Linked DNA regions of Struthio camelus. The protein of the gene in region 1 interacts with the protein of each later gene in a pairwise test. Links are inferred from orthologs where the notes say so. Each region holds a gene or a part of one and is shown on either strand. Other genes may lie near its edges.

Evidence for each region.
Region 2: the proteins of CFAP206 (region 1) and SOX30 interact in binary tests that used the Homo sapiens proteins (3 or more experiments, as listed by UniProt). The two-hybrid records come from large-scale screens. The link is inferred for Struthio camelus from reciprocal best matches to the Homo sapiens genes CFAP206 and SOX30.

Annotation. Positions count from the first base shown.
Region 1 is NC_090944.1:49,190,117-49,199,092, forward strand, and holds the start of CFAP206 (cilia- and flagella-associated protein 206), read left to right. Parts: upstream 1-5,091; 5' UTR 5,092-5,185; exon of another isoform or gene 5,186-5,241; intron 5,242-7,389; 5' UTR 7,390-7,390; coding exon 7,391-7,498; intron 7,499-8,976. UniProt on the Homo sapiens protein: Essential for sperm motility and is involved in the regulation of the beating frequency of motile cilia on the epithelial cells of the respiratory tract. Required for the establishment of radial spokes in sperm flagella.
Region 2 is NC_090954.1:11,107,730-11,116,892, forward strand, and holds the start of SOX30 (transcription factor SOX-30), read left to right. Parts: upstream 1-5,086; 5' UTR 5,087-5,230; coding exon 5,231-5,441; intron 5,442-6,613; coding exon 6,614-6,853; intron 6,854-8,271; coding exon 8,272-8,451; intron 8,452-9,163. Other genes in the region: THG1L (probable tRNA(His) guanylyltransferase), read right to left, coding at 483-571, 1,264-1,433, 1,891-2,067, 3,923-4,191. UniProt on the Homo sapiens protein: Acts both as a transcriptional activator and a repressor. Binds to the DNA sequence 5'-ACAAT-3' and shows a preference for guanine residues surrounding this core motif. Binds to its own promoter and activates its own transcription.

The DNA.
Region 1 (8,976 bases):
GGGACAACTGTCAGCTTTCCCGACCAGAGTACCCTGCACGGTGTGGGAGAGCAAGCCGAAGCTCCTTGCTTTGGTCATATGCTCCACATGCTTGCAGTGAAAGTTTGATATAGTGAGAACTGGGGGAGACACAGTGCTCGCATACCCAGACATCTCTTCTTTAGTGTGGCAAAACGATGGAGCTGAAAGAAAAAAACACGAGCAGTCTAACATTCCTTGACAATATTGTAATAGGGAGGCTCAAACCCTTAATGATACCTCAGATAATTGCTGCAGGTGTCATCTGAGATTCCCGTATGTGCGATAGCGTATACTTTGCCTCAGTGGGCCTGAGATGACTCTGTACCACCACGGCCGTTCAGGAGAGTCCCGCAGACTTCAGCAGTGCTGTCCGCTCTTTTATGCATGTGTCCTTAACACCGAGCAGGTTGGCACTCTCTGCCAGCACCGCTTGGTGCCCTGAGCAACAGCAGCGCCGTGCACAGAGGCCTCTGATGGCCGATGTACAAGCTTGAGGGGAAGAAAGAATAGCAATTCTTCCACAGGAGGCCACCAAAAACGTCCTCAGCTTCAAAAATCGGCTTTATTGTGCCACTAACAGACTTAGATGAACTGAAGATGACATGACACTTCTGCCTTCCCAATTTCTGAGTGCGAGATTTCAGCATGACTCACTTTTGCAAGCAGTAACAGCCAGCTGTACAGAGCGTATTTCTCTCTTAAGAGACAGACTTTTCATTCTTGTGGGACTACAGGCTGTCCTCGCACCACTGCTTTGGGAGAACCAAGTCTCACCAAGCTTACATTAGCTTCCGTACCGCGGTACAGGGTCGTCTCAGTACCCTGAAGTGCTGCCAACTGCCGGCATGGCACAGCTCACCATCTAACTTCAGAGATGGAGAAAGGGATAGTACCTAAACTTCTGTTTGGGTCATGCATTGCCTCTTGTGGACACCCGCATTTACGTAAACCTTCAAGGAGGTTGAACGGGCGCCTTGCCAAACATTATTCCTGATGGCAGGAGACCTTCCGGGCAGAGGGTTGGCGCCTGCTTTCCAGCTCACTGCCCGTTCGGAGAGGGCCTGAACACAGGAAGGAGCTAACTGAGCCGTAAGATCAACTTCATAAGTGCCTCTTTTAGGTGAGCGATGAATAACCAAAGGATTAGTCATTGCAGGATCGCTCTGTGCTTGTGACTGGATCAAGGGAGCTTGAACGGACCCTACCGTGTCCGAGCCTCTCCGGTGGGTGCGCTGTGCGTCAAGCTGCGTAACGCGACGCCCCTCGTCTTCCTGGCGCTGGTGTGTTTTGGGGCACAAACTCTCCATCTGCCTGATGGGACTGCCCAGTGCTCAGGCCAGGCCCCTACCGCTGCTGGTTGGGGCTAGTTTCCCCGCCAGCGCCGGGGTGCAAGAAAAACCTAGCTGTAACTGCGTCCCGCGACTGGCAAAACGAGGGGATGTGTTCAGTCCCGAACAGCGATAGCAAGTAAATGCCGTCTTCTGGATACGCTTGGAGAAAGAGGTGACCCTCCAAACGGGATAGCCAGGGTAATGTAGGCTTGTTAAATAGGCGACGTGCTTTTCCTGGAACAGAGGACTGTGGCGTCAACCTTTATAGTAATTTAAAAGCTACTGTGCTCTTTTTAGTGAGGCCAAACTGACTTTTAAAATTGTTAATTATCGCAAACCCAAGAATCTTTTCACTGTGTGTCACTGTCAGCTTCATTAGGAGTAAATGCCTCAGACACACCACTAGGGGGAGGATTTTATCTATATTTTAAGTTAGTACGGCACAGACGTTATGAAGCTGTATTTTGAGGATTTTTGAGGAAAGGGAAAGAGGGGTCTTTATTTCTTGTTACTGGAACACTAGATAAACTCTGCCTCCATTCCCAGAAGCTGTGCTTGAAATCAAAAGTTAACACTAACTGTAGGGGAGAAATCCAGGTGTTTTGCTTATGAAACAGTGTTCTGCAACCTAAAGACCTCAGTAGCTTACCAAAAAGTTAAATGAATTTTTGTGGTCTAATATAGCCTGCAAACCTCCCCTCCCCCTGAAACCACTGTTTTCTTTGGTCTTAGGGGTTTATTTGATTTTTTTTGGAGGAAGAAAACTGCTGACAGTTTGTACCTTTTCAGTTCTAGTACCATCTGAAATACTGCTTAGTACTACCACAACGCTTCGAACAACGTCAGAACTTAAATCGTCAGCAAGCTAAGCTGCAAACACATCGCTCTGGCTTTCTTTCTTCCAACCCGCAGCCTAAAAGTGCGTGGGAAGCTGGATGTCTTACTGGGATTTCTGGGTGTGAGCTGGCTCTGTTGCTGGCTTTGCCGAAGTCCCAGATAAGGTCAGGACGGCTAAAACGTCAAAGCTGAGTACGCTGCTTGGCTAAAGAGACGGCCTGCTATGCTCCTTCCAACCAGAGCGAGTCTACGATTCCATGATTTACATACAGACGATTAGCTTTTTATTAAAAAAAAAAAAAAAGATAAATCAACTTTTTTTTAGTGAACTGGAAATGGTTGGGAGTAGCAGAGGAGAAGAATGAAACATCTGTAACAATGCTCATACTCTGCGAGTAAGAATATGTAGTCTGCTTTCAGCACGCCTGTGAAAAATGAGTGTGGCCTTTTAAACTCCTGCAAAAGGAATGCAGTAGCATTGCGATAGAGTCACTCATAATACTTATTCCCAGTGTTTTGTCTTCCGAATGAAGCGCTCTTTGGATTGCAGATGTCCTATTGAGACAACAGCAACACTGAGTTTATCAGAGGATGTCAGCTATTTCAGCTGCAGTAAGATGTTCCTATATCTCGCTATGCCTCCAGGAAATTTCACAGCCAAGCAAAGCGATGATCGTGAATGCCGCTAACTCTAAAGGAGCGTGAGTGTCTGGGGATGCGCACGTGTTTTATTTTGGATCAGGACTGTGTTTACAGGGAAAAATCTCTTGATAGTCCTTGGCCTGTGCTTTGATGTGTACTGCGGAGCAGCCGCTGAGCACGTGAACTGGATTTCTTTCGGGTGAAACTGAACTCGAAGGTGTGCTCTAGCCTGCGCCAAACGCGCTCCGGCCACAAAAAGACGTTCAGTCCCTGGGCTTGGATGAAAGCTGGTCTGAAGTTACGACCCCCTGAGGCGCGTAGGGAGCGGGCGCCCGGTCCTCAGCCCCAGCCGCTTCGCCCCGCGGAGGTTGCGCCGCTTGCAAACGTGGACACAGCCGTAAGATACCAGAAGGAAAGTGAAGCGACTCAAAGGGTAGTCCTTGCGTTGGCCAGCCACAGCTGCACAGCGATAAGGGCCCTGCATACACGCGAAATACCCTAACTGGGGCTTCCTGCTCTCCCTGAAAAGCGTCTGTGTGAACATGCGGACGCGTTAGCCACAGCCTCTGACCTTTGCGGGTCGGGAGCCGGCTCTCCACGGCTGTGAAACTGCAGAAGACCCAGTAACTGGGCTACGAGAGCTAAACCTAAGAGCTGGCACTACCTCTGTGGGCTTGTTTCGCCCCGTCAACTTTCCCACAGCCGCTGCTGGGACTCATTGCACTGTCCACATTACAGACGCTGCCAACAGGTATGTAATCCTGCCATTAGTCGTCCGAGAGCAAAATATGGTCGTCATTCTGCTGGTAAGAACCGGCGGCTTGCCCGAGGTCAGGCAGGAAAAAGGTCATTGTTTCCTCTCATGGCAACTGTAAGCGGGTTGCTGCGTGTCTGGGCCTTTAAACCGAGGCGGACAAATTCAGGCCGCTGAAAACTGATGTCTATCGTCAGCTCCTAATCCTGCGTTCCACCTACCAGTAGAGGTTACGCCATTACCTTCTGGGGACGTGGCTTTTGAATCTAACCAAGCTGTTATTACTTTTTCTTCCCTCTGCCCTGGAACAGCTCAAACTGAGCGGGCAGCGACGGACGGAGCTAGCGAGAGGAAGGCCTTGCAGAGGTGCAGCCGGCGCCCGGCCGGCCGCGCATCCCCCCGACGGCAGCGTCGGCAGCGCTGCTCGCGGCCGCCAGCGCTCGCTCTCTGCCATAGATGGATGTGTGTGCGTGTGTGGGTGTGCGTGCATGTCTGCATATGCATATATACATATATATATTTGTATATACCAACACACACACACATAACTACACGCTTTGCATAGATGTGCACATCTATGCATTGTATGTATGCGCACGTATATATGTTTATGCAATGGATTACAAAGCTGTGCCTGCCACTCTTTCTGCTGTCTCCTTCCCTCACAATCACTTTTGAAAGAGACATGTTTTGTGTATATACATGGGTGCGTGTATTGTATGTACGTGCACACAGAGACGCACATGTATATATGTATACAGAAATACATATGCATGTGTTTGTATGCATATACAAAAAATATATATATAAAAATAAATCACAAATCTATGCCTGACACTCTTCTTGTCTCCTGTTACACTCACAATCTCTCTTGGAAAATATGTATATATGTGTTGTATATACACAGAGAGAGAGAGTGTTTTGTGTGTATATATATATATGCACACACATTTTGTATATACAGGTACGTTTATGTATATTTGTGCCTATACACCTATACCTCTACATCAGCAGTTACATGCACACATCTACATATGCACTTACGTCTTGCCCATGCGTGCACTTAGGCGCAGCAGACACGTATATATTTACCTGCACAGAGCTTATACGTTGCATGCACACGGCCACACGCACAGAGGTGCGCATACGCACTCCTGCATATCGGTTCTGCGTACGCACATATGTTCTGTAATATGCCCAAGCGTCCAAATAGATATAGATATACACACACGCGCCCATGGGAAAAAAAAATATAGAGATATATATATGTACACAAACACACAGGCACACGCACGCCTGCGCGCAGATGCAGCCACCCGTCCCGCTGCAAGCGCGCGGGCGCGCGCGTACGACACCGGCCCGCCCCGGCCCGCCGCCGGTGCGGGGGGGGAGGGGCGGTGCCATGGCAACGAACAGCCGCTGCCGCCGCCGGTGCGGGGGCGGGGCGGTGCCATGGCAACGAACGGCCGCTGCCGCCGCCGGTGCCGGGGGGGGTGCCATGGCAACGAACAGCCGCTGCCGCTGCCGCCGCCGGTGCGGGGGCGGGGCGGTGCCATGGCAACGAACGGCCGCTGCCGCCGCCGGTGCCGGGGGGGGGGGGGTGCCATGGCAACGAACGGCCGCTGCCGCCGGCGGCCGGGCCGGGCGCGGCGGCAGGTGAGTGCGGGGCGCGGCCATGGCGGCCAGCAGCGCGGCAGGGAGCGGGGAGAGGCCAGGCCCTGCTTGGTCCCCGCCGGCAGCAACGCCTTTTGCCGTTTGCAATCCGAAGTATTAAAGGGAGGAACGCCTCGTCTGCCAGCAGGCGTCTGGATGCGGGCCGCTGACGGCTGTGCCGCGTTCTCCTCGGAGCCTTCAAGCAGGGCCGGGGCGGGGGGGGCGGGGAGCAGCATGGCGGGCAGCCCGGCCTGGAAGCGGCGGTGCGGGAGGCTGGGCAAGCAAAGGGCGCCCGGGGTGGTGGGAGCGGAAGGGGCATCGTAATCAAGGCCGCAGGGCTGCAGCGGGTTCGCCCCAGGCGTACATGTGAAATTCAGGAGGCGCCTACAGGGCAGCATTACAGGGAGAGCTCTCCTGCTTGGCTACCTACTGTTTAACTTCGTTCATGACCTGGGTGGTGGGACTGAACGCACCCTCAGGTTTGCCGATGATACGCCTGAGGGCTGTGCTGCCGTTCAGAGGGCCCTCCATGCTGGAGAGATGCGCACGGAGGAACCTCATGGAGCTCAAGAAGGGGCAGTGCCAAATCCTGCCCCTGAGGAGGAACAAACCCCAACCCCCCCCCCCCGACCTGTCAGCTGGGGGCTGACAGTCTGGGAAACAGCTCTGCAGAGAAGAGCCTGGTGGACACCCAGTTGACCGTGAGCCAGCAACATGCCCTCGCAGCACACAAAGCCAACAGCCTCCTGGGCTGTGTTAGGCAGAGTGTTGCCAGCAGGTCAAGGGGGGTGATCTCTCTCCTCTACTCAGCACTGGTGAGGCCACACCTGGAGTGCTGGGTCCATTGCTAGGCTCCCCAGTAGAAGAGAGCATGGACATACTGGAGCAAGACCAGCGAAGAGCCACAAAGATGTTTAAGGGACTGGAGCATCTTTCGTATAAACAAGAGGCTGAGAGAGCTGGGCCTGTTGAGCTTGGAGAAGAGGAGGCTCGGGGGGATCAGATCAATATGTATAAATATCTGATGGGAAGATCTGAAGGGGGAGTGTCAAGAGGATGAGGCCAATCTCTTCTCCGTGGTGCCCAGCAACAGGACAAGAGGCAACGGGCACAAACTGAACCACAGGAAGTTCCCTCTGAACCTGAGGAAAAACTTCTTCACTGTGAGGGTGACAGAGCATTGGACCAGGTTGCCCAGAGAGGTAGTGGAGTCTCCTTCGCTGGAGATCTTCAAAACCCGTCTGGATGTGATCCTGGGCAATATGCTCTAGGTGACCCTGCTTGAGCAGGGAGGTTGGAGTAGATGATCTCCAGAGGTCCCTTCCAACCTAAACGATTCTGTATGTAAAAAGGATGGAGCCAGACTCCTCTCAGTGGTGCCTAGTAACAGAACAAGAGAGTTTGGGCACAAATTAAACAAAGGAAATTTCATCTGAACCTAAGAAGACACCTGTTTACTGTGAGGGTGGTCAAATACTGGATGGAACAGGTTGCCCAGAGAGGCTGTGGAGTCTCCATGCTTGGAGATATTCAAAACCCAACTGGACACGGCCCTGGGCAACCTGCTCTATGTTGTCCTGCTTGAGCAGGGGTTCTGGATTAAACTGTCTACAGAGGTCTCTTCTGTTATATAATATAAACAGATTATAACATATAATAACAGATAATATTCTGTTATTTTGTGATCCTTGTCAATGCCTGTGTCATGTAGGAGTGAAAACTTCACACTGGCTTTCAGTTGCGTTTGGAAATAGCATTTTATTCCTACAGAGCTGTCCGTTTTTTCCATTCCCCTCTTGTCAGTTGCTGAGTCTTAATCACTTTGTGAGAAATACTCCATATGTCAAACAATGACTACCTGGAGCAATATTTTTATAATCAGCTTCCATTTTTCTTCTTGTTGATCTTGTTTTGCATTAAGTTCTTATTACTTGGAAATACTCATGTCAGCTGTGGTCCGTCCAGCCATAAATCATCTCTGCCACCTTTAGCGGAGTGGTTTCTGAAAACAGGAAAGCCTGAGAGGCTTTGCAGAAATTACGTACTGTCGCCGCTGGTAGTAAATATTACAGTGGGGAAAAGGAAGACTGAAAGACAAATCTAAAATATATGATGATAAATCTCTAGCCTATCATTGTGTTGTTTATTCAGGATGTCTTGCCATCAAACTGAAAATGTCATAAAGAAAATCATTCGTGAAATAGGACAAGAATGTGCCAGCAAAGGACAAACTGTTTCTGAAACCTTGGTAGCTTTCATGGTAAGAATAAATTAAATGTTTTATTTATTTTTTGTTATTTCATCTGATTTTTTTTCCAGTAATGCTCATATTTTCTTATGGTCAATAAAATATTAACAAATAAATATATTCTAATAATGGAGCATGTGGATCAGAATTTTCAAACCTGGGTGCTTCTAGCTTGGCGGTCCAAACCTGTTTCTAAGGCTTTCATGGTGTAAAGACTTAATTTTACACAGTATGAATAGTTCCCCTTGAAGTCAGTGAGACTGTTCAGAATGAATGCTGTGAAGCAAGGACATAAATCATTCCTTTGGTGTTAAAAATCAATAAACTTCAAATGTCAAGTTCCTGTCACAGTGCCAAAGCTGGGATAGCTACAGCTGAGACTTTCAGGAGTGATTTAAATTTTGAAATATCTCACTTTCTGATTGCCCAAGTTGAGAAGTTTTAAAGGGTCATTCATTGATATTCAGTATGGGGTCCTAAAAACCTAAGAAAGCATCTCATTCCTCTGAAATGCTTTGTATGTGACTGTAAGGCCCTGGAAAGACTGTCAGTCATGAGTCTTTGCAATTCTTTAAACTCAGAATGAGAGTTCTCTCTCATTTTTCTTCTGTAGGCTGATAAACCATTTTTGTTTTTTTTTGAAAAGGAAACAATCTCATTGTTATCCTTGGAAGACAACTGTATGAATGCTAAAAACTTTATACCCTTTGGCATCTGTTCTTATGAAACACTTTGCAGAGCGTTGCAGAATATAGTCTAAATACATCCACAAACTTTTTGTGTAGAAAGATGGAGCTTCTTTCTTTAGGGATGTCTTAAGAACGCAATTGATAAGCTCTTGATAAGCTTTTATAGGAGCGTAAATGGTTCACAGCAGTATTGTTAGTCTGTCTTTTTTTTTCCTAGATGAAGAAGATAGTCTGGCTTTAGAAAATATGCTGGGCTCAGAAGTAGTATTAATTAAGCATGAAAAATGCTACGAGTGAAAAACTTTCTCATGTGGCTGGCAAAATACCTCCAAGCATGCAAATATTTCCTTATATGCAAAAACACTATGAAATTTTTATCTAAATAGTATTTTTTTAAATGTGCATGTGTAGTGGTGCATACAATACCAACCTGGAAGTGTGTAAACAAGCATGACTGATTTTTATAAAATTTTACTTAGAAAAACATTTTTCCAGGAAACTTGTAAAGGAGCTATATTTAAATATTTCTCTGCAGTGTTTGCATCCCAAGTAGTTAGGTTTTCTTTCCACTTATGTCAGAGTGGAAAATTTGAAATCTGGCAACAGATGAAATGCAGTAATTTTGTTTCATTATCGAAGATTGACATGGAAAAAAGAATAGTAAAGATAATATCTGCTTTTAAAAATTTAGTCAAGTAATTATTTGCACAATTGAATAATCTGAAGTATATGAGTAATCTTCCGGATGGGAAAATTTGTAACTTTCCACTATTTCTTTTAAACCATAGCTCTGTCACAGTT
Region 2 (9,163 bases), on another chromosome or scaffold:
CCAATAGAGAAACTATTTGCAACTGTCAAATGGAAATATTAAGAGAGATTTTCTTTCAAGTTGGTTATTACTTTTTCAAAAGAGTAGAAGAAACTCAACAGAATCCAGAAGAAAACAGATATAACGTGCTTAAGTCTGCACAATCAGTCAGAATACTACAGAAGGAGCTGGGAATCAACAGTGTCTTAATCCTCCCATTTTATTTCTTCTTCAAAGATAATGGATGTTTCTTTAAAGTGTTTAGGATTTCTGAATTCAATAATTATGAAATGAAAAACCAAGTAACACTCTAGCTAAAATGCCACACGCTAATCATATTAACATCTGTACAATTCAAGAGGAAGCTGCTGAACGTACATCAATGAAATTATTACAGTAAGAATAGAAAAGACGGCCAGGGCTGCTGGGTAGGCAAGACGTGGCTTAGCAAATGATGTGATTTGGTTTGTACCTAGAACAACACGACCTCAAAAGAGTCTTACCTGAAGTCTATCCTGTGCTTGTACTGGTGTCAAACCACTTCGTTGTACAAGCATCCAAAACACTGTATTGTAAAGGTTATTAATATGGCCTACAGAAAAAGAAGGAAAGAGCATTTACCAAATCTGAGCGACTACTCAGAAAAAAGCAACTTCATTGCCAGAGTCACGTACAGGAAATACTCAGTAATAAATGGTCATTAATAATATCAGTATCTGCAGAAGCTATATCTTTCTGATCCATTTTTAAGGTACTGTATATCATAAGAACCACCAGAAGATTGCTGTCATGATACTTCACAAGTGGGAAAGGGAGAACAGAGAGAGAAGGGTGTTTATGAATAATTGACCAACAAGGACTAGCTACTAACGGAAGTCTAGAAATGAAGCCCAACAGCATGGAATATACAGTGCTCTTGACTGCTATGATTTTGCTACATGGTGAAGTTTAATTCAAACAGTCACATCTCTCGGTTAAAGAGGATAATATTGGTTAAATAAACACAACAACAACAAATGAATTCTATTAATAATTCTAGTATTTCCAGTACCAAATTCACTCCCAGCGTGTAATGAATATAATCTGAGGTCTCAGAACTTTAGCCTTCATTTTTGCTTCCACACAAATCCTAGCACAATTTTAACAGTTTATTTAAAACTATGCCTTCCCCTACCTGATGTTCTTTCACTGGTAACATACATGCATACACTTGCAGTAAGGGCATTCGTATTCAGAAAGAAGAACTCAACTGTGTAAATCTACTTTTTTTAAAAAAATGCTTACAATCTGCTTGTCTCCAACTGAGGTAGTCCTTTAAGTTTTGGTTGCTGGGATACAACACAATTCGTCCATCAAAACCTGGTGGATACAGAAGTTGCTGATCCTTAAAGTAATCCTTCCAATAGAAAACGTAACTTGAGGCAAACTGGGAGACCACGTGAGTCATGAACTTACTTGCAAACACAAAGCAAACAGAAAAAGAAAGCAATATATCAATGTGATTATACATATTGGTGATTATCTGGGCTATCAATAACAATAATTTGGGGGGGGGCAGAATTTCTTAAATAACGGTGCACAGATCAGCAATAGCATAGAGTCTTTTGAAGACTAAGAAGTACTGAGAATCACATAAGAGTTTGGAAGGGGAATCATTTTGTTAAAAGAAGTTGTGTTTAATCAAAACTTTTAAAAAATCCTTTATCACTGAACATATATTCTAGGGAGATCACACGCAAAGAGTTCACATGAAGAACCTGAGAGCTAGTTTACAGTGGATACACCCAAATACAGTCCTATACAGAACCTATACATATAGATGAAAGCAAATCTAAGGAAAATCAACAAATTCCAAATTTAGAGAGAAGTATTAAAAGTGAATACACTTCTTGGTATCAAAGCAGCTGATACCTTGCTCTTCTTTTAAACCATCTACTGTTCTTTTTGAAAACAAAACTGTATTCATCGCTTTGTCCATAAGCGATAGCAATATCTTCCAGTTCTTGCATCACTGTCTGGGCACACTTGGTCATCAGATGAAGAGCACGGTCATCATTTGGCTTTTTGAACTCATGTTGCTCAGCAAACCTTCAAAGCAAAAATGGTTGAACAAGAATCCTTTAAAAAGCTACTCAAAAATGCTAACCCATTAATTTTCATCACATTTACTTTCTATGAATATTGACTTCCAGTATCCTGTCAATACTGACAGAGAATTCCCTCCAGGTATGAACAACAGTAACAATAAACCGTGGTTATATATCCCAGATAACCCATTCTCTTTCCCATCAGTATCTTATCCTAACTATATAATAGTCTTTCAAAACAACTGCTTTCCCTATTTTACTTGGAATAAGAAGATAACAAATAACATTTTCTGTAACCTCACTTTGCACCAGGGTGCCTCTTATACTCTGTCCAACAAAGGCAACATTTAGTCAATTGTCAAAACTCAAGAGCTTTACCAGAACCAGACTTCACCAAACCACCATCTGGAAGAACAACTTTCAGAGATCAAAACCCCAGCAAGAATATGGCCCATCCGCCACTCAAGAGAACCATGACCCATTGATCCTGAAGAAAGCTGAATCTCACAGAGATCATTTCCACACACAAATAAATACTCCTGTTTACCAGTTGCAGTCCTTCCCACAACCCATCCAAGCCACTGTTATACTATTTCTGTTATACCCTATCGTCCCATAGATGCCACACTTCTTAAGCTGTATATGGCCCAGAAAGACAAATACCAGTCTCACAGAATCACAGAATGACCAAGGTTGGAAGGGACTTCTGGAGATCATCTAGTCCAACCCCTTGCTCAAGCAAGGTCATCTAGAGCACATTGCACAGGATCGCATCCAGGCGGCTTTTGAATATCTCCAAAGAAGGAGACTCCACAGCCTCTCTGGGCAACCTGTTCCAGTGCTCAGTCACCCTCACAGGAAAGAAGTTTCTCCTCATGTTCAGATGGAACTTCCTGTGTTTCAGTTTGCGCCCGTTGCCTCTTGTCCTGTTGCTGGGCACCACGGAGAAGAGGCTGGCCCCATCCTCTTGTTACCTTCGCTTTAAATATTTGTTTACATTGATGAGATCCTCCCTCAGTCTTCTCTTCTCCAGGCTGAACAGGCCCAGCTCTCTCAGCCTTTCTTCAGAGGAGAGATGCTCCAGTCCCTTCATCATCTTTGCAGCCCTCCACTGGACTCTCTCCAGTAGCGTTATGTCTCTCCTGCACTAGGGAGCCCAGAAGTGAGCACAGTACTCCAGATGTGGCCTCACCAGGGCTGAGTAGAGGCGGAGGATCACCTGCCTTGACCTGCTAGCAACACTCTTCCTAATTCAGTAGTAAGGAGACACTCTGAAGAGGGTGAAAGGATTTCTGAGGACTAACCACTGCCCCTACTGAATTCACACAGCTCAAGCAGGGAAGCCACGCTTCAGGAACCCATAGCCAGTCACATGATATCAGTCAAGATGTCGAGAATCCATGTTCTTGGCCCTGGAGCCAACACCTCGCTCTGCACTGCGCCCTGGGGCCCAGCACCCTTCTGCGCACTGCCTCCAGCCCCAGGCTGCCAGGCTAACCTCGGCACACAGCACCCCGCTCTGCACCGCACCCTGGGGCCCAGCACCCTTCTGCGCACTGCCTTCAGCCCCAGGCTGCCAGGCTAACCTCGGCACACAGCACCCCGCTCTGCACCGCGCCCTGGGGCCCAGCACCCCCCACACCACGGCAGCACGCCGGGGAGCCCGCCCAACCCCGGGGCCCAGCATCTCGGCGCCGTGTCCCCACCTCCCGGGCCCATTAGGAGGAACCTTCCCCCCTCCCCGCCCCAATACGCACCCTAGACCCCTTCTCCTCCCCGCCCGTTGGTCGAGGCGTCGCCATGGCAACCGCGCTGCTACAAACAGCGCGGCCATTGGCTGCCTGCCCAGCCCCTACCGGTGGAAGTTGCGGCCGTCTAGCCGGACCACTATCCAGCAGTTGGGCAGGCATGTGTCGTCCGTCTCGAAGTCCCGCACGTACTCGAACTTGCTCTTCGCCATGGGGAGGCGGCGGCCGCACAGCCACCTCACGCACCTCCCGCCCGCAGTACAGATGGCCGCTGCGGCCCGCCAGCTCCGTAGCATGGCCGGAACGGAAGCGGAAGTGGCCCCCCCTCCGAGGACGCAGCAAGGAGCCCTTCTGGGCCGCGAGGCGGACCTCTCCATGGCTTCGAGGCTCCCCCAGCCCGTGGGGCCGCTGTGCCGAGGCGGGGCTCGGTGCCGCGAGGACCGGGGGCCGCCAGGTCTCCGCGCCGGCCACGCGCGGTGTTGACGGGGAGGGTGTAGGCAGGAGGGGCTCGCAACCCTCCGCTGTCCCGGGGCTGCCGTGCCGGTAGCGGGGAAGGGATGGCCGAGGGGAGCGGGGCCGAGGCGACCCCCAATTTGGGGTGGGGGGCGCGGCGAAGCGCCCGGCGCCTCAGCGAGCCCGGAGGGAGCGGCCTTAGGGGAGAAGCACCCGGCGGCGCCGCCAACGGTCTCCACGGCGACCGCATTGTGAGGCGGGCGGCGGGGGGAGGGGGGAGAAGCGGCGCGCGCGGCCATTGGTGCGCTCGGGGCGGGCGGCGCGCGGCCATTGGCGGGCGGCGGGGGCGGGAGGGCGTTGCGAGCGTTTGCGCACCAACCGCAAGCGGCAAACGGCCGCGGCGTCATGGCCATGGAGCGGGGGGCGGCGGGCGGCGCGGCCCGCCCTCAGTGCCGCCAGCGCCCCCTGCCGCCCGCCTGCTTCGGCGCCGCCCGCCCGCCGCCGCCGCCGCCGCCTCCGCTCCGCGCCGGGCCCCGCCGGGAGCCGCCGCGGCAGCCGGAGGCGGCGGCGGCAGCGGCGGCGGCGGCCGAGGGGCCCCTCCAGGTGCTGCACATCAAAGTGGAGGAGCCCGAGCCGGAGGAGGCGGCCTGCGGCGGCAGGAAGAGGGGCGAGCCGAGGTGCCTCGCAGCCCTGTGGGGATGCGGGCAGGAGGCCCCAGACGCCATCGCGGCGGGAGGGGACCGGGAAGGCCCCAAAGAGCTGAAGGTGCCCGAGGACAGGGGCAATGGGACGGTGCCGGGGCTTGGGCCAGCAGGTGCCGTCAAGGTGGAGCCAGCCGAGGCGGCCCCCGGGGCCGGCGGCCTGGAGGAAGAGGAGGCCGAGGCCGAGGCAGCGGGACCCCAGAGCGGGGTCGCCCAGCCCAGCAGCGATGGCAGCCTGGCTCCGCCGGCCGGAGCCTTCGCCATGCACCCTGCGGATCTGACGGTCCCGCTGATGCTGCACCCCTTGCCTTCTGCGACCAGAATTCAGCTTCAAGGCCCTCCGCCTTCCCAGCTGATCCATGTGGCTAAAGTGCCAGTGACCCAAGTGCCTCTAAAAATGCAGTCTTTACTGGAGCCGTCAGTAAAAATTGAAACTAAAAACGTGCCCCTCACAGTGCTGCCCTCCGATGCAGGTATTACATTGTAAGACAGCTTAGAGTTTGCAAGGTTTCAGTAAGTGGCACACAGTTGGCAGGTTTTTTCAGGTTGGAGAACACAAGTTAAAATAGTGGATACACTGTTGTTTGTACAACTCTTTTGTTCAGCTAAAGGTGTAAACATACAGCAGCACAAAGTTCTCTAGTGGTTCACTAAAATCAATACAGTTTTGTCTGCTTGCTCTCCGTCTATTTTAAACAGAATTGCAGTGAATAGTGGTTTCAAGTTCAGTTTAGGTATCTGCTTGATTTTTCAATCTATGAGCATTCAAACACCTCTCACTGAGAAAATTCGAAGACGTTAAGTGAGGAACACTTAAATATCTGGATTAGTTTTTTTTTTTTTTTTTAGAGAGAAACATAGGCTTTTAAAATTAACTTGAAGTCCTAAAGCCTAATAAACTTGCCCTTTATTGACCACGTAGAAGAGTTCTGTTCTAAGTTTTTTTCTCATAGAGGAAGCTGCTTTCTTAAAGTTCAATTGTGAAAGGTATGCGGTTTATTTCACCAGCTCAATTCAAATACAGTCTTTGGTTCTAAGGACCTAAAGCTGGGAGTCTTGTAACAGTCATCTGATGAAACAGGTTCCTCTAGCAAATGGGCATCTAAATCTGAGAAAAGAGGGGAAAAAAGAGGGAGAAAAAAAAAAACAGCAGCAACAACCTCAGAGAAGTTGCAAATATGTGGGACTAAACTGCCATCCCATCATCAGATCTGGTCCTTGAATCATTAGGGTTTGGATGCATAGTTGGGGTGGTGATCATGAATTTGCAGTGATACGGTCTATGCTATATTATGTTTAATTTATAAATACACAGGTATTATAGAAAGCAGTCTAGCCAAATGAAATCCAAACCAGTGTGTTTTTAACAGTCATTTCTGTTTCATACAGAAAAGAAAGGCTATGTGACAAAAGTCACGTAAACAATTCCTTATGTAGTATTTCAGTGGAGGCTAGTCAGTGATGCTGTTAGCCTTAGTTATTTTTCTAAGAACTGTTCTCCAAATGTGCATTGAGTTTTGTGTGTTCTGAAGCTCTGATGATTCTTCTGAATATTGCTAAATACCTTCTGGAAATACTATTGAACGTAACCTATATTGTGTATATTGCCTGGCAGATGATCTTCTTTCCTCATTTTGTTGCATAGGGATACCAGATACTCCATTTAGCAAGGACAAAAGTGGCCATGTAAAGCGTCCAATGAACGCATTCATGGTATGGGCTAGGATTCATCGGCCAGCTCTAGCCAAAGCTAACCCAACTGCCAATAATGCAGAAATCAGTGTTCAGCTTGGACTGGAGTGGAACAAGCTGACTGAAGAGCAGAAGAAGCCCTATTATGACGAAGCTCAGAAAATAAAAGAAAAGCACAGAGAAGAATTTCCTGGTAAACATATATTTATTTACCCAAATCCTTTAGAAGGGCAAGATTTATGGGGGAAAAAAAAAAGATCTCTTTCATTAGAGCAAATATTAGAGTTGGAAGAAATGGTAGACTTTCAAGTATTTGGTCCTTTTGTCAGATTCCTAGTACCTGAAAGCATATTCATTTTTTTTATAGTTATCCATAAATGATGTTTCATTCTCCGTAGCCTCTGAATTCCTTACGTTCTTAGACTACCACATGTATAGTAGCTCTTCTCAATGCTTTATAAGTCTAATGGCCAGATGCACAGTTTATTGTGAACGTGGCCTGTTAAAACGTTTCGCAGGCTCCAGAAGGAGCTGTCCAGGTGGCTTGTGGTGACACATGCATCCACTCCTGTAAAAGTAGGAGAGGGAAATGCCACAGGAAGCACAAATGGCATTGTGTATTGTGGGACTCTTCAACTTGTGGCATTGGGATTCCCGAGTCAAGGTGCGGAACATGGTCTCAGCCTTTTGTCAAAGGTTTAGGGATTTGCTCCCTTAACAGATTTGTTTCTCTGTAACACTGCAGTTCAATTAAAAAGGCGCTAAGAAAACAGAGCAGAATTTTTTTGAACACTCTTTATAGAAGCTACTGAAACATCACGTGTCATAATCCTTTCTGTCTGTGATGTCATAAATTTGCTAGTTCACAATCATTTGCTAGTTCAGGTCTTGTCAGGTAGACAAGACCTGACTAATACATCATAAACAAGCATAAGATAAAGAGCAGAATCTTCCTTCTGTCTTTTCACCCTTCAAAAAAAAGGGTTTCTTTAAAGTAGCATAAGAGTTAGCCTGCCCAAGAAAACCAAGCTGCTCAGTCCAAATTCCAAAAATATTTCTAAGTCTGTTAAGTGTTTGGTTAGTGTTGTAACTCAAAGGCAAGCGAACTCCTTACTGCCAAAGCGTAAACAGGATTTCTAGCGGATCATATTTTTCATCATATCTTTTAACCTCCAGGTATATGTGAGGTTTAAGGGGATAAGGAAACAATTAGGGAAGATCCACATTTTGTATGCCGTTTGTTTTTTCCAGACCAAAACTCCATGGTACAGCATCATATTCTCCTTTACATGCTTTCCTTAGCTGTGCCATTTCACTCCCCACTGTTTTGTGGTTCTTTGTCTCACAAACATTTTTGAATGGTAACTACACTGGTAACATAACTGAATTGGTAACCTAAGAACGCCCAAACATGCTCGTTTTAACTCCACCTCTGATAAAATGCCCTTTTGCCCACCCACTGAAATGAATGAGAGTTTTGCCATTGACTATTGGAGCAGTTTTTGGACTCATACTTTTTTAGATACTTCAGAATTACAGATATTTTAGCTTTACAGAAAGAAAGAGATCATCCCAAAAATGAGAAGTCTGCATCTTTTTCATCTCTGACAGGTTGGGTTTATCAACCGCGACCGGGCAAAAGGAAGCGTTTTCCATTGACTGTCTCCACTGTATTTTCCGGCACTTCTCAGAATATCATCACTACAAATCCAGCAGCCATTTATCCCTTCCGATCACCCGCTTACTCCGTTGTCATCCCCAATGTTCAGAACAGTATTGGACATCCTGTCTGTGAGTTTTTAGTAGTCTGAGTGAATGATTTTAAAAATTAAGAATCTACCTATCATAGTAAAAGTTATACACATTGTAGTGTAGATATAGTTAAGATACGGCTTCTCAGTCTTTTTGGACACCACTGTGTCTGTCAATCCTCCTCGACACTGCACTGCTCTTAGTCTCTTCCCTCCTACTTCCTCAGCCTTCTCTCCCTTTACTGCCCTTAAATTCTTCTGGCTACCTCTTTACTCTCCTACAGACCCCTGCTATTGTCTTCCTATCTCCTGGTTCCCTCCTGCTATCTTTCTGCCTTTTGGGGGTCTCTGTTACTTAGTACTTGCCTCCTATTAAGCTACAGCTATCTCTCTCTCTGTTTTTTCTTTCTTATTCTGTCTCCATCACAGACATATCTTACCCCACCAGATCTAACTGCTGCTCAACCCACACTACTAAGCCTGACGAAGCTTATTAGCTTAGCCCTGGCACCTCTCCAGTCCTGTGTTGGTGTGCCTTTCTAGTGAGGGCACCGTTGCTTTAGAACAAACGCTCGGCAGCTTAGACTGCTCACAGGAGAGGGCAGACAGAGTTGTCAACAAAGGCATCAGAAAGGAGGATGTTAAGTAGGGAGGATGTGGGCTACAATTTTAAAGTGGTCTGTAAAACTGGAAGAGGAATTTTTCACTTGCACTTTTTTTCACGAACAGTTATTTAAATATTTGTGCCCATA